Linked DNA regions of Sus scrofa. The protein of the gene in region 1 purifies or fractionates together with the protein of each later gene. This does not show direct contact. Links are inferred from orthologs where the notes say so. Each region holds a gene or a part of one and is shown in the gene's direction. Other genes may lie near its edges. The genes, in order: RICTOR, FLNA and PRR5L.

Region 1 (3,647 bases):
ATTACACTTGCCTTGCTACAATATTAATTGCATTTTTTTTCTCATTAGGCGAGCTAGTGCAGCCCTGAACTGTTTAAAACGCTTCCATGAAATGAAGAAACGAGGACCTAAGCCTTATAGCCTTCATTTAGATCACATTATTCAGAAAGCAATTGCAACACACCAGAAACGGGATCAATATCTCCGAGTTCAGAAAGATATATTTGTTCTTAAGGTACTGACATGAAGTTGCGATTTTTCATTTCCTAATTCTTTTAAGCACTGGATTTTAGCAGGCATGCACTTACTTGAGTTCACAGTTTTATTCACGCATGTGGATTTTCAAAAGCCTTCTAAGTTTTATGACTAGGCAGTTAAGAGCTGTGTTTTTATAACTTTTTAAAGTTAAAAACATTGATAATGCTCCTTAGATGCCAAATCTTTCTTTTTAAGACTTGAACTTAGTTTTTTTTTAATGTGAGGACAGTTTGTCTTAATTTTTCTTATTATTTTCTGGTGATTTTAGGATACAGAAGAAGCTCTTTTAATGAATCTTAGAGATAGCCAAGTCCTTCAACATAAAGAGAATCTTGAATGGAATTGGAATCTTATAGGGACCATTCTTAAGGTATGACAGCTTACTTCTTGGAAATGGCTTATCTTCATTTTATTATTTATCATAATTCATTAAAATTATATGTTTAGGAAGTGATAAATACGTAATATATTATGTTTTTCTAGTGGCCAAATGTAAATCTCAGAAACTATAAAGATGAACAGTTGCACAGGTATGTAAGAACTGTTTTGCATTTAAATTTAAAGAACTTAGATTTGAATTATATTATGCTTGATAACTACTAAAAGTAATAATTGATGTTTTAAAAACATCTATGTACATTTTAATAGTTGGTGTTCACTAGGTACATATGTACATTTTTGTATATGGTTCTATTTTATAACCGGATAGTATCAGCTAATTCTTTTTCTGGTTATTTACATTCTGGTTTTAGTTTTGAAACAAATGAAGCACTTGAGATAAAGGTGTCTCAAATTGAGGAATATTGACCATGTACTAATCTTAGCCCTTATGTAGGAAGATGGCATAGTAAGGACATAGTGTCTCCCTTTCAAAATGATGGCCTTTTTAAATCTTCCAATTCTACTTTCATTTTCATCTTGGAGGATTATTCATTCTTTTTCCTCATTACACTCTCCTTAACCAAGATGATGCTCTCCACACCTTCCATAAAACATGCTAATGTTCATAGCTCTTCAGGGTATTGTGCTGTTTTTTAGTACCCCATGCATTTTTATGTCTTCCAAGTTTAGACTACCCCACCGCCAGTGTTGATCTCATTGGATAAGAGGGCCTTTACTTCATGTTTTTGAGGGGTTCATATCATTAACATTATTATTATTATTTTATTTATTTATTTTTTTGTCTTTTTGCCATTTCTTGGGCCGCTCCTGCGGAATATGGAGGTTCCCAGGCTAGGGGTCTAAATTGGAACTGTAGCCACCAGCCTACGCCAGAGCCACAGCAATGCGGGATCTGAGCCGCGTCTGTGACCTACACCACAGCTCGTGGCAATGCCAGATGGTCAACCCACTGAGCAAGGGCAGGGATTGAACCCGCAACCTCATGGTTCCTAGTCGGATTCATTAACCACTGCGCCACAACGGGAACTCCGTTATTTTTTGATTGTACTCATCTACTCAATGATATTTAACTTAATATCTGAATTAAGTTTTGAGAATTGTATATAACATATAAATTACATTGCTATAAAGAAGCATAACACTAACTTTTCAGACCCCTTGAGAACAGAGATGAAGTCTGTTTCTCCAACTCCTGGACCTGGCACCTTTATTAGATTGGATTGTAGTGCATGAAATTAAATTGAGGTAATAAATTAAATGGAAGTTTAGAATATAATGTTGAAAATCATGACATTGAAATGTCATAAATTATGTCCATTGCTTCCTAAAGTCAGTTTCATAACTTTTACCTAGAGCTTTTAGGCTTGACTTTTCCCCTAATTGTGAAAAACTGACAAAATCATAGTGTAGCAGCATTTAATTACAGTTACCTAGTACAAGATTATTTTAGAGAGCCATGGGACAAAGTCTTTCAAAAAGTACAATAGAAGAAGATGTATATAAACTGAATTAAAAGAGAGTAAAAAAAAAAACAAAAAAAAACTAACAAAAAAAAATGTGTGCACATTAAAAAAGAAGTGGGATTCCCGTCGTGGCGCAGTGGTTAACGAATCCGACTAGGAACAATGAGGTTGCGGGTTTGGTCCCTGCCCTTGCTCAGTGGGTTAACGATCCCGCGTTGCCGTGAGCTGTGGCGTAGGTTGCAGAGGTGGCTCGGATCCCACGTTGCTGTGGCTCTGGCGTAGGCCGGTGGCTATAGCTCCGATTTGACCCCTAGCCTGGGAACCTCCATATGCCACGGAAGCGGCCCAAAGAAATAGCAAAAAGACAAAAAAAAAAAAAAAAAAAGAAAATTTGTAGCTAGGTGGCGTCCTCATTTATGCCACCTTCTAGCTGTGTTAGTATCTGTATTTTTTTTTTCTGCTAGCATCTTCTCCATTATTTCTTTAAAGCATCTAATGATTCAATTCTTATTTCATGAAGATATTTTTTACAGTAAAGGGATTTTTTATTTTTGGTTGTTTTGTTTGTGTGTAGAATGTACCTAATATGTTTATTAAATTTCTTTCCATTTACCCCACTGGTTTAAATCCAAAACATATTCAGAATCTTATTATATCATAAGCTAGGATTAAGATTCTAAAATAATTATTTGGTTTATAACTTTGTTGCTGATTTTATTTTAATCTTAGGTTTGTACGAAGACTGCTTTATTTTTACAAGCCCAGCAGTAAATTATATGCGAACTTGGATCTGGACTTTGCCAAGTCCAAGCAGCTCACAGTTGTGGGTTGCCAGTTTACAGAATTTCTTCTTGAGTCTGAAGAGGTAATAAGCACTTTGGATATTTTCCAGAGCAATTTTTTCTTTTCTTTTCTTTTCTTTTTTTTTTTTTTTTTTTTTTAACTGAATTTGCCCCTTCCTTTTATTTCTGAATATGCATAACCTGTATTTAGAAACATAGGGAATGAGCCTGGACCTAGATTAGCTATTTATGTGACTTTGGGCAAATATTTGCCTTTTAAAAGACCTTACTTTTTTTCCTTGTAAAATGAAAAACAATACCATCTCCTACAGCACTGTGTTGAATGGGATTACAAAGAACAGGTACTCAGTGATTGATGTGTTATTAGTAACTTCATTATCATTTTATTTCTTGGACTTGATAAAAGTTGATTTTTCTAATTGTAGGCACTGTTTTCCAGCAATATCATAACGTATTTGCTTTTAGGATGGGCAAGGATACTTAGAAGATCTAGTAAAGGATATTGTTCAGTGGCTCAATGCCTCATCTGGAATGAAACCTGAAAGAAGTCTTCAAAATAATGGTTTATTGACTACTCTTAGTCAACACTACTTTTTATTTATTGGAACACTTTCTTGTCACCCTCACGGAGTCAAAATGCTGGAAAAGTGCAGTGTATTTCAATGGTGAGCATTCCTAGCTTCTGTTTCAGTGTATGCCTAAACTTTATTTATTTTTTTAACTTTTTTTTTTTAAGGGCCGC
Region 2 (3,647 bases), on another chromosome or scaffold:
CCCGCAGGCTACGGTGGGCTCAGCCTGTCCATCGAGGGTCCCAGCAAGGTGGACATCAACACAGAGGACCTGGAGGATGGCACGTGCAGGGTCACCTACTGCCCCACGGAGCCGGGCAACTACATCATCAACATCAAGTTCGCCGACCAACACGTGCCTGGTGAGGGTGGCGCCCACACACCTTCCCCAGGGCGGGGCACCCCTCCGTCCTTGTCGCTCCCCGGGGTCCAGCTGCCGAGTGTCGCCTGTGCGGGATGTGGGTCGTGCTTTCTCCCTGCAGGCAGCCCGTTCTCCGTGAAAGTGACCGGTGAGGGCCGGGTGAAAGAGAGCATCACACGCAGGCAACGGGCTCCTTCGGTGGCTAATGTCGGCAGTCATTGCGACCTCAGCCTGAAGATCCCTGGTAGGAGCTATAGGGAGCCAGGGAGGGGTCCCAGGGAGCCCCTGGGTGCCAGCCCTAGGGGACCCCGAAGGGCTGGGGCCTGGCTCTCCTGCTCACCAGGCTGTCCCCCACCTACAGAAATTAGCATCCAGGACATGACAGCCCAGGTGACCAGCCCATCAGGCAAGAGCCACGAGGCTGAGATCGTGGAAGGGGAGAACCATACCTACTGCATCCGCTTCGTGCCCGCTGAGATGGGCATGCACACGGTCAGCGTCAAGTACAAGGGCCAGCACGTGCCTGGGAGCCCTTTCCAGTTCACCGTGGGGCCCCTGGGGGAAGGGGGCGCCCACAAGGTCCGCGCCGGGGGCCCTGGCCTGGAGAGGGCTGAAGCTGGAGTGCCAGGTAGGCCTGCCTCCTTCCTGCGGGGCTCATGCTCCTCCTGGGGGTGCGGGGGGAAGCAGCCAAGCTCATCTCAGCCCTGCTTGGAGGGGGCCGGCGGCGGGGGTGAGGGGCGGCCAGCCGTCCATGAGGGCGCGCTACTTTCCCACAGCTGAGTTCAGCATCTGGACCAGGGAAGCTGGCGCCGGGGGCCTGGCCATTGCTGTTGAGGGCCCCAGCAAGGCCGAGATCTCCTTCGAGGACCGCAAGGACGGCTCCTGCGGCGTGGCCTATGTGGTCCAGGAGCCAGGTACTGAGGGGCGGGGGCGGGGGCGGCCAGGCTGGGCTGTGGCTGTTGATCCGGTTCCACGCAGACGCAGCCCTGCCCGGCTCCCACCCTCCAGCTTGAGGTCCCAGGGCCCCTCGGGCTGTTCGTGGGAGGCGGCGGGCTCGACTGCCATGGCCGACCTGGCTCCTTCCCTGCCCAGGTGACTACGAGGTCTCCGTCAAGTTCAACGAGGAGCACATCCCTGACAGCCCTTTTGTGGTGCCCGTGGCCTCTCCGTCTGGTGACGCCCGCCGCCTTACTGTTTCTAGTCTTCAGGTGAGGCACTGAGAGAAACCGCCCGTCTGGGGCTCCTGGGCCCGGCCAGACCAGAGCCACCGCACAGAGCAGGCCTCGGCCCTGTGTGGAGGGACCCGCCCCGCCCGGCTCAGGGCACCGGGCTTCTGCTCTGGCCGGGTGCAGCCCACGCTCGGGGTCGGCAGGAAGTACCCCTGACCGCCGCGTGGAGTTTTTCTCGTGTCTCAGGTCTAAAGGCTTTGAACAGAAGCCTGTGCCCCTTGAGCACCAGGGCTGAGGTTTAAAGAGGGACAGCCTGCCAGGGTTGAGCGCTGCCCATGGGGCAGCCCCCCCTGCTGCCGCCACGCACCCCCCCCCCAGCGTGTGCCTGTAGAGCTTGGGTCTGGGAGCGGGAGCGGGAGCGTGTGCTTGGAGCGTGCTGCCCCTCAAGGATCAGTGGCTCTCCCTCTTTAAACCAAGTTGGACGCCAGATGGGTAAGTGCAACCCCGTGGGCCTCCTGCTTCTGGGGCCCTGCCTGCCCTGGCCCCCGCCCCGGCCCCGGCCCCCCTAACCACGTCTGCTATGCTTCCAGGAGTCAGGGCTAAAGGTCAACCAGCCAGCCTCTTTTGCAGTCAGCCTGAATGGGGCTAAGGGGGCGATCGATGCCAAGGTGCACAGCCCCTCGGGAGCCCTGGAGGAGTGCTATGTCACAGAGATCGACCAAGGTGAGGCCCTGTCCCTGCCCAGCCACCCAGCCATCTGCCCTGGCCCCGCTGGGAGCCGTGGGCCTCCCCCCGGCCTGTCCCGCTGGCTGGAAGCAAGCCGAGAGTGCGAAGGAAAGGCACAGACCGGAGGCAGCCGAGCCAGAGCGCAGCTGCCCCTTCGGCCAGGCAGCGCTTCCCGCACTTGTGTCCCCAAGTCCCTGGGGACCTGGCGCACCAGCCATGCAGCTAGGGACCCGAACGAAGCCTAGCTGTGGGGGCTGCTCGGCCCAGTTCCACTGGTGACAACAGCCCAGTCCTGCCCCTTCCCGGCCACATGACTCCGAGCGAGTTCCTGCCTGTCTCTGGGCCCCAGTTAACATGGGGGGATGTGGGGGACTCATCTTCCTAGGGAGGCGTCATGGCAGGTGTTCTGCTTTACCAAGCGAGCGTCCTGGCAGTAGCTTGGGCACCTGACACTTCACCCGTCAGGCTTCAGGAGGTCTGCACTGTGGCGGGGGTGGGGGTGGGGGTGCCCAGCACGGTCCCCTGAAAAGGGGTGGGCAAGGGAAGCTCTCCACAGGTGCCGCTTGCTCAGTTCAGGAGGAGGGCTCTCAGGCCCACGGAGCCCTCCTCTGTTCCTCAGATAAGTACGCTGTGCGCTTTATCCCACGAGAGAACGGCGTCTACCTGATTGATGTCAAGTTCAATGGCACCCACATCCCTGGAAGCCCCTTCAAGATCCGAGTCGGGGAGCCTGGGCATGGAGGGGACCCAGGCCTGGTGTCCGCTTACGGAGCTGGCCTGGAAGGCGGCGTCACAGGTGGGTCAGTGGCTGCAGCTTCTGCTGTGTGGACACAACTGCTAGGGCCCCTCCTCCGAGCTCTCGGTGACAACAGGAGGCGTGTGGAGGTGACAAGGCTACGCTGGGGGCGGGGGGCAGGGAACAGGCCAGGCCAGCTCTGTCTAACCTCCCGTGCCCCCAGGGAGCCCCGCCGAGTTTATTGTGAACACGAGCAATGCGGGAGCCGGTGCCCTGTCGGTCACCATCGACGGGCCCTCCAAGGTGAAGATGGATTGCCAGGAGTGCCCGGAGGGCTACCGCGTCACCTACACCCCCATGGCACCTGGCAGCTACCTCATCTCCATCAAGTATGGTGGCCCCTACCACATTGGGGGCAGCCCCTTCAAGGCCAGAGTCACCGGTGAGCCTTGTACGAGCCTCCTGCTAGCCCGCCCGAGGCCTGGCCCTCCAGCCACCTCTTAGCCCTGCCTGCTCTGCCCTGCAGGTCACCGTCTCGTCAGCAACCACAGCCTCCACGAGACGTCGTCAGTGTTTGTGGACTCCCTGACCAAGACTGCCAGTGCCCCCCAGCATGGGGCCCCGGGCCCAGGTGCCGCCGACGCCAGCAAGGTGCTGGCCAAGGGCCTGGGGCTGAGCAAGGCCTACGTGGGCCAGAAGGGCAGCTTCACGGTAGACTGCAGCAAAGCAGGTGGGCGCCCAGGCCGCGGCCTTCCGCAGAGGCCACAAGTAGGAGCAGAGAGAGAGCCAGCGCCCGGGACCGCAGGACGGGGCGAAGTGGGGGGGGGGGTGTCTTTGGGGATGAGGCTGTCCCTCCT
Region 3 (3,747 bases), on another chromosome or scaffold:
TGCATATGATATTTACTGGGTACCTACTATGTGCCAGGCACTCTCCTAGAATCTTGGGCTGGTTCCGTGAACAGAACAAAACCATGTTCTTGTAGAGCTGATGTTCTAGCCTGGAAGCAGGAGGTAGTTGGGAGAGACAATGAAAAAAAAAAATCATGTAAAATGTTACAAGATGATAAAATGCAATGGAAAAAAGATAAAGTAGAGCTGAATGAGGGGGCTTGGGAGGGAGGAGTGAGTGACAATTTTAAATAGATTGAATAGGGTAGGTCTCATTGAACAAAGACTCCCTTTTCACCTCCTAGACTTGGAGGATAATAATAATAATAGCTTAATATCTGTTGAATCCCAGCAGAACTTCTAAGCGCTTTGTCTGTATGAATTCATTAAATCCTCATAACAACCCTGAGATAGCTACTATTTTTAATCCCATTTTCGTAGGAATAAACTGAGGCATAGTGGTTAAGTAACTTGGCTAATATCCTGCACCTATGAGTGATGATGGTTGATTAACCTTGACCTTCTGGCTCCAGGCTTTGGCCCATACATGCTCAGCACAGCTGCTCTGAATACATCTCCCAAGTCCCCTCGCCGATCACTGTTCTTTCAGGGCTTTCTTTCCCAGGCATGTGCTTTGTCCAGTCCCTTTTGTTGTACATGATTACTGAGATGAGATTTTTTTTTTTCTTTTTTCTTTTTTTTAAGGGCCACACCTTGGTATATGGAAGTTCCAGGCTAGGAGTCAAGTTGGAGCTGCAGCCACTGGATTATGCCACAGCCACAGCAACGCCAGACAGATCTGAGCCACATCTGTGACCTATACCACAGCTCATGGCAACACTGGATCCATAACCCACTCAGAGGGGCCAGGGATTGAACCTGCGTCCTCATGGATACTAGTTGGTTTCCTTACCACTGTGCCACAACAGGAGTTCCTGGGATGAGATTTAAAGTCTCTTCAGCATCCTGGGGTTTGCTGAGAATACCTCAGCTTTATTTGATATCACTGGAAAAGAGGAACACCAGAGCGTCCATGAAAGTCCCCTTGGGCACACTCTGACCAGCAACCCTTTTAGGGGTTTTGTAAGGTCACAGTGATCAAAATAAATATAAAATTTTTTTCTCAGTTGTGACATAAAAAGACAACTTTTTTTTTTTTCAGCAAATGCCACTGTGGTTTCAAAGCCTAAGTGTGATGTGTGAACGGGCAGCATTAGTAAAGTATTTCCTGCTCAACCATAGGGTGAAATTATGCAAGCCAATGAGTCCTGAAAACAGCTGCATCAAATTCTTAGCACCTGCAAGAAAACAGTGTTGAAAATAATTTTACATTGTTTTTAATGTTGGGATTGGTTGGTTTTCTCCCGTTTCAAACTTGAAATCCCCTCCAATGCACTAAACCTTCAGCTGGTTAGAGAATTGAGGAGGTTTAAAAGAATTGTGCAAATCTAAGGGAGAGACCTCAATGGAATTATATTTTTATTAATGCACTGAAAACTTCTCCTGGAATTGGCCTGAGAACTGTTCCTTAAAACAACAGCAGAAGTCCCAGACACTAGTCCTCTGGTGAATTACTCCTTTGGCGTCTCTGTAGAGTGTGTGTGTGTGAGATCTGTGTGAGGGAAACGCAGCGCCAAGCTCTCATGACCTGTTGCATCCTCCCCAGCTTTTCAAGTTACAGAGTTGGATTTCCTGAAATTGTTGAAGTGGATGTAAGTGCAGGCGCCCCCCTCCCCCCTCCCCCCTCCCTAGCAGGGTAAGAAGAGGATGGGGTGAGGTGGGGTGGGATGGGGGCCCGTTGGAGAGAAACTAAAGCGATGAGACAGGACAGGAAAAGCGGGAGGAGGAGGTGGGGAGGAGGAGGAGGAGGAGGGGGAGGAGGAGGTCGTAAGATGAGAGAGGAGGGAAACGTGTCACCAGCCTGGCTCCGGGAGCTCCGCTGCCGCTTCATTTGTGGACCCGCGTCGGAGGGGACCTGAGGCTGGACAGGACCCCGCCGAGGGCAGAGCCGGGAGAGGAGGGAGGACAGGGGTCTGGGCAGAGCGCGGCGGCGAGAGCCATCCAGGTCGCTGATTGCTCTTGGGTGAGGAAACTTTCCCGGGAAGACCGGAAACTTTTCCCTGGGCGCGTGGAGTCTGGGGCGGAGGAGAGCTGCGGGTGTGCGCGATTCGAGGTGACTCGGGAGGGGCTGGAGCCTTAGGCTTAGCAACGGCACGGGAATGGGAACAAAATCGCCGGGCACAATTCACTGGGGCACGGGGGAGGAGGCTCGGGGAAAGTGTTAAATTGAGGGACAACCGAGTGGGGACCTCCGCGTGGTTCAGGATCCTCGGATTGGACGCTGAAGGTGGGCGTAGAGGACCGGGCTCGCGACCCTGATAGGGGGGAGAAGCGGGTGGGGAACGCGCCCCGCATCTGCAGCTTAGGGTGGACGAGGGAACGCTGAGGGGTGGAACGCAGGATGCCGCCGATCCTGGGACCCAGGCTGTGCCAGAAGATCGAAAAAGAAAGTTTGCTTCTTTGTCTCTTTCTCCTCTGGCCTGAGGGGCAAATCTAAAGAGCCTACTGGGGCGCCCCCAAACACCCCCATCTTTCCCTGTTATTCTCCTTTTTCCAGAGAGGCGTGGGAGGGGAGGCCAGGGAAGGGAGCCGCTTTGTCCTGAGCGCCACTGGACGTGCGCGCTCCGACTGGGGCGGGCCGGGGCGCAGCCAGCGGGGACCCGGCGGGGCCGGCAGCTCTCCTCGCGGGCGGCATCCCCTTTGGGCTTCATCTTTCCCGCCCTCCCTCCATTTGGAGAGGCTTTCCCCGGTGCGCCTACTGTGCGCCCCCTACGAGCTCGATGCGAGCACAGGGGACCTCTGGAGACCCGGCCCCTGCAGCTCCAACCCTCTTATCCTCAGCCTTGTGCCGCTTTTCCGAGGGGCGAGGGGCGGCTGCCGGGGAGCAGACCAGGTCACATACATGCAAACTTTGCTTCTGTAATTGGCTCTAGGGTGCCTCCCTGGTTGGCAAGAGGGTTTCCCCTCCTATTTTAGTCGGCCCCTGCCTTTGGTCACATGCCACCACCTCTTCCCCGGGCGGTGTGGGAAGCCCGCATTTTGTTTGTCAGCAGTAAGGCGGTGAGTATTTATAGACGCCAATGCAGTCCTGCGGTATGCAAGGTTTCAATTACTGTGATGTGCCCCACAAGACGGAAGGCTCACACCAGGCGGCTCAGCGGCAAGTCTGCACCAGAGACCCGCTTGGAATAAGCTCTAGGCTGGAGTCTGGGCATCCTTGCTGGGGCAGAGTTCTGGAACTGTTACCCAGATGATACGTACAAATCCAAAGGGACCCATTGCAAAGAACCACAGCAGTCCAGTCGAGGACGCCATATCCAGATTGTCCCCATCGCCTGCCCCGCCTCCCCTACCAAAGGGTGCTCGCTGATCAAGCCTCAGAGGCTGCCCTTTTTACTTCCCCTTAGTGTCCTGACCACCATGAGTGCAGTCATGACATTTCACTGGCCTACATGCTGCAAAATGTCACGAAGTTGTGCTTTGGTAAATTGCTCTGGGGGTGGAAGGTGCAGTTATTGACACCATAAAGCAGCAAGTGGGTCAGGAGGAGAGAGGGAACTTGCAGAAACTAATTTAGCCACATTTTAAATTTAGCCCCTGATGAGGTTCCTAGTAAGACTGAGAATGGTGCAGTGCTCTTTGTGGAACCTGGCTGGTCGGTCTCTGGTTTATTGAGCTCTAGAATCT

The links.
Region 2: the proteins of RICTOR (region 1) and FLNA purify together in Homo sapiens (affinity purification with mass spectrometry; 3 studies listed by BioGRID and IntAct, with this or other methods). This does not show direct contact. The link is inferred for Sus scrofa from reciprocal best matches to the Homo sapiens genes RICTOR and FLNA.
Region 3: the proteins of RICTOR (region 1) and PRR5L purify together in Homo sapiens (affinity purification with western blotting; 3 studies listed by BioGRID and IntAct, with this or other methods). This does not show direct contact. The link is inferred for Sus scrofa from reciprocal best matches to the Homo sapiens genes RICTOR and PRR5L.

The regions. Positions count from the first base shown.
Region 1 is NC_010458.4:24,152,496-24,156,142, reverse strand, and holds part of RICTOR (rapamycin-insensitive companion of mTOR), read left to right. Parts: intron 1-48; coding exon 49-214; intron 215-505; coding exon 506-607; intron 608-720; coding exon 721-767; intron 768-2,831; coding exon 2,832-2,967; intron 2,968-3,370; coding exon 3,371-3,570; intron 3,571-3,647. UniProt on the Homo sapiens protein: Component of the mechanistic target of rapamycin complex 2 (mTORC2), which transduces signals from growth factors to pathways involved in proliferation, cytoskeletal organization, lipogenesis and anabolic output.
Region 2 is NC_010461.5:124,910,622-124,914,268, forward strand, and holds part of FLNA (filamin-A), read left to right. Parts: intron 1-7; coding exon 8-160; coding exon of another isoform or gene 161-280; coding exon 281-403; coding exon of another isoform or gene 404-520; coding exon 521-787; intron 788-935; coding exon 936-1,073; intron 1,074-1,251; coding exon 1,252-1,367; intron 1,368-1,918; coding exon 1,919-2,051; intron 2,052-2,673; coding exon 2,674-3,232; intron 3,233-3,316; coding exon 3,317-3,520; intron 3,521-3,647. UniProt on the Homo sapiens protein: Promotes orthogonal branching of actin filaments and links actin filaments to membrane glycoproteins. Anchors various transmembrane proteins to the actin cytoskeleton and serves as a scaffold for a wide range of cytoplasmic signaling proteins.
Region 3 is NC_010444.4:24,729,091-24,732,837, reverse strand, and holds the start of PRR5L (proline-rich protein 5-like), read left to right. Parts: upstream 1-882; 5' UTR 883-1,643; coding exon 1,644-1,712; intron 1,713-1,857; exon of another isoform or gene 1,858-2,083; intron 2,084-2,152; exon of another isoform or gene 2,153-2,173; intron 2,174-2,199; exon of another isoform or gene 2,200-2,347; intron 2,348-3,747. UniProt on the Homo sapiens protein: Associates with the mTORC2 complex that regulates cellular processes including survival and organization of the cytoskeleton.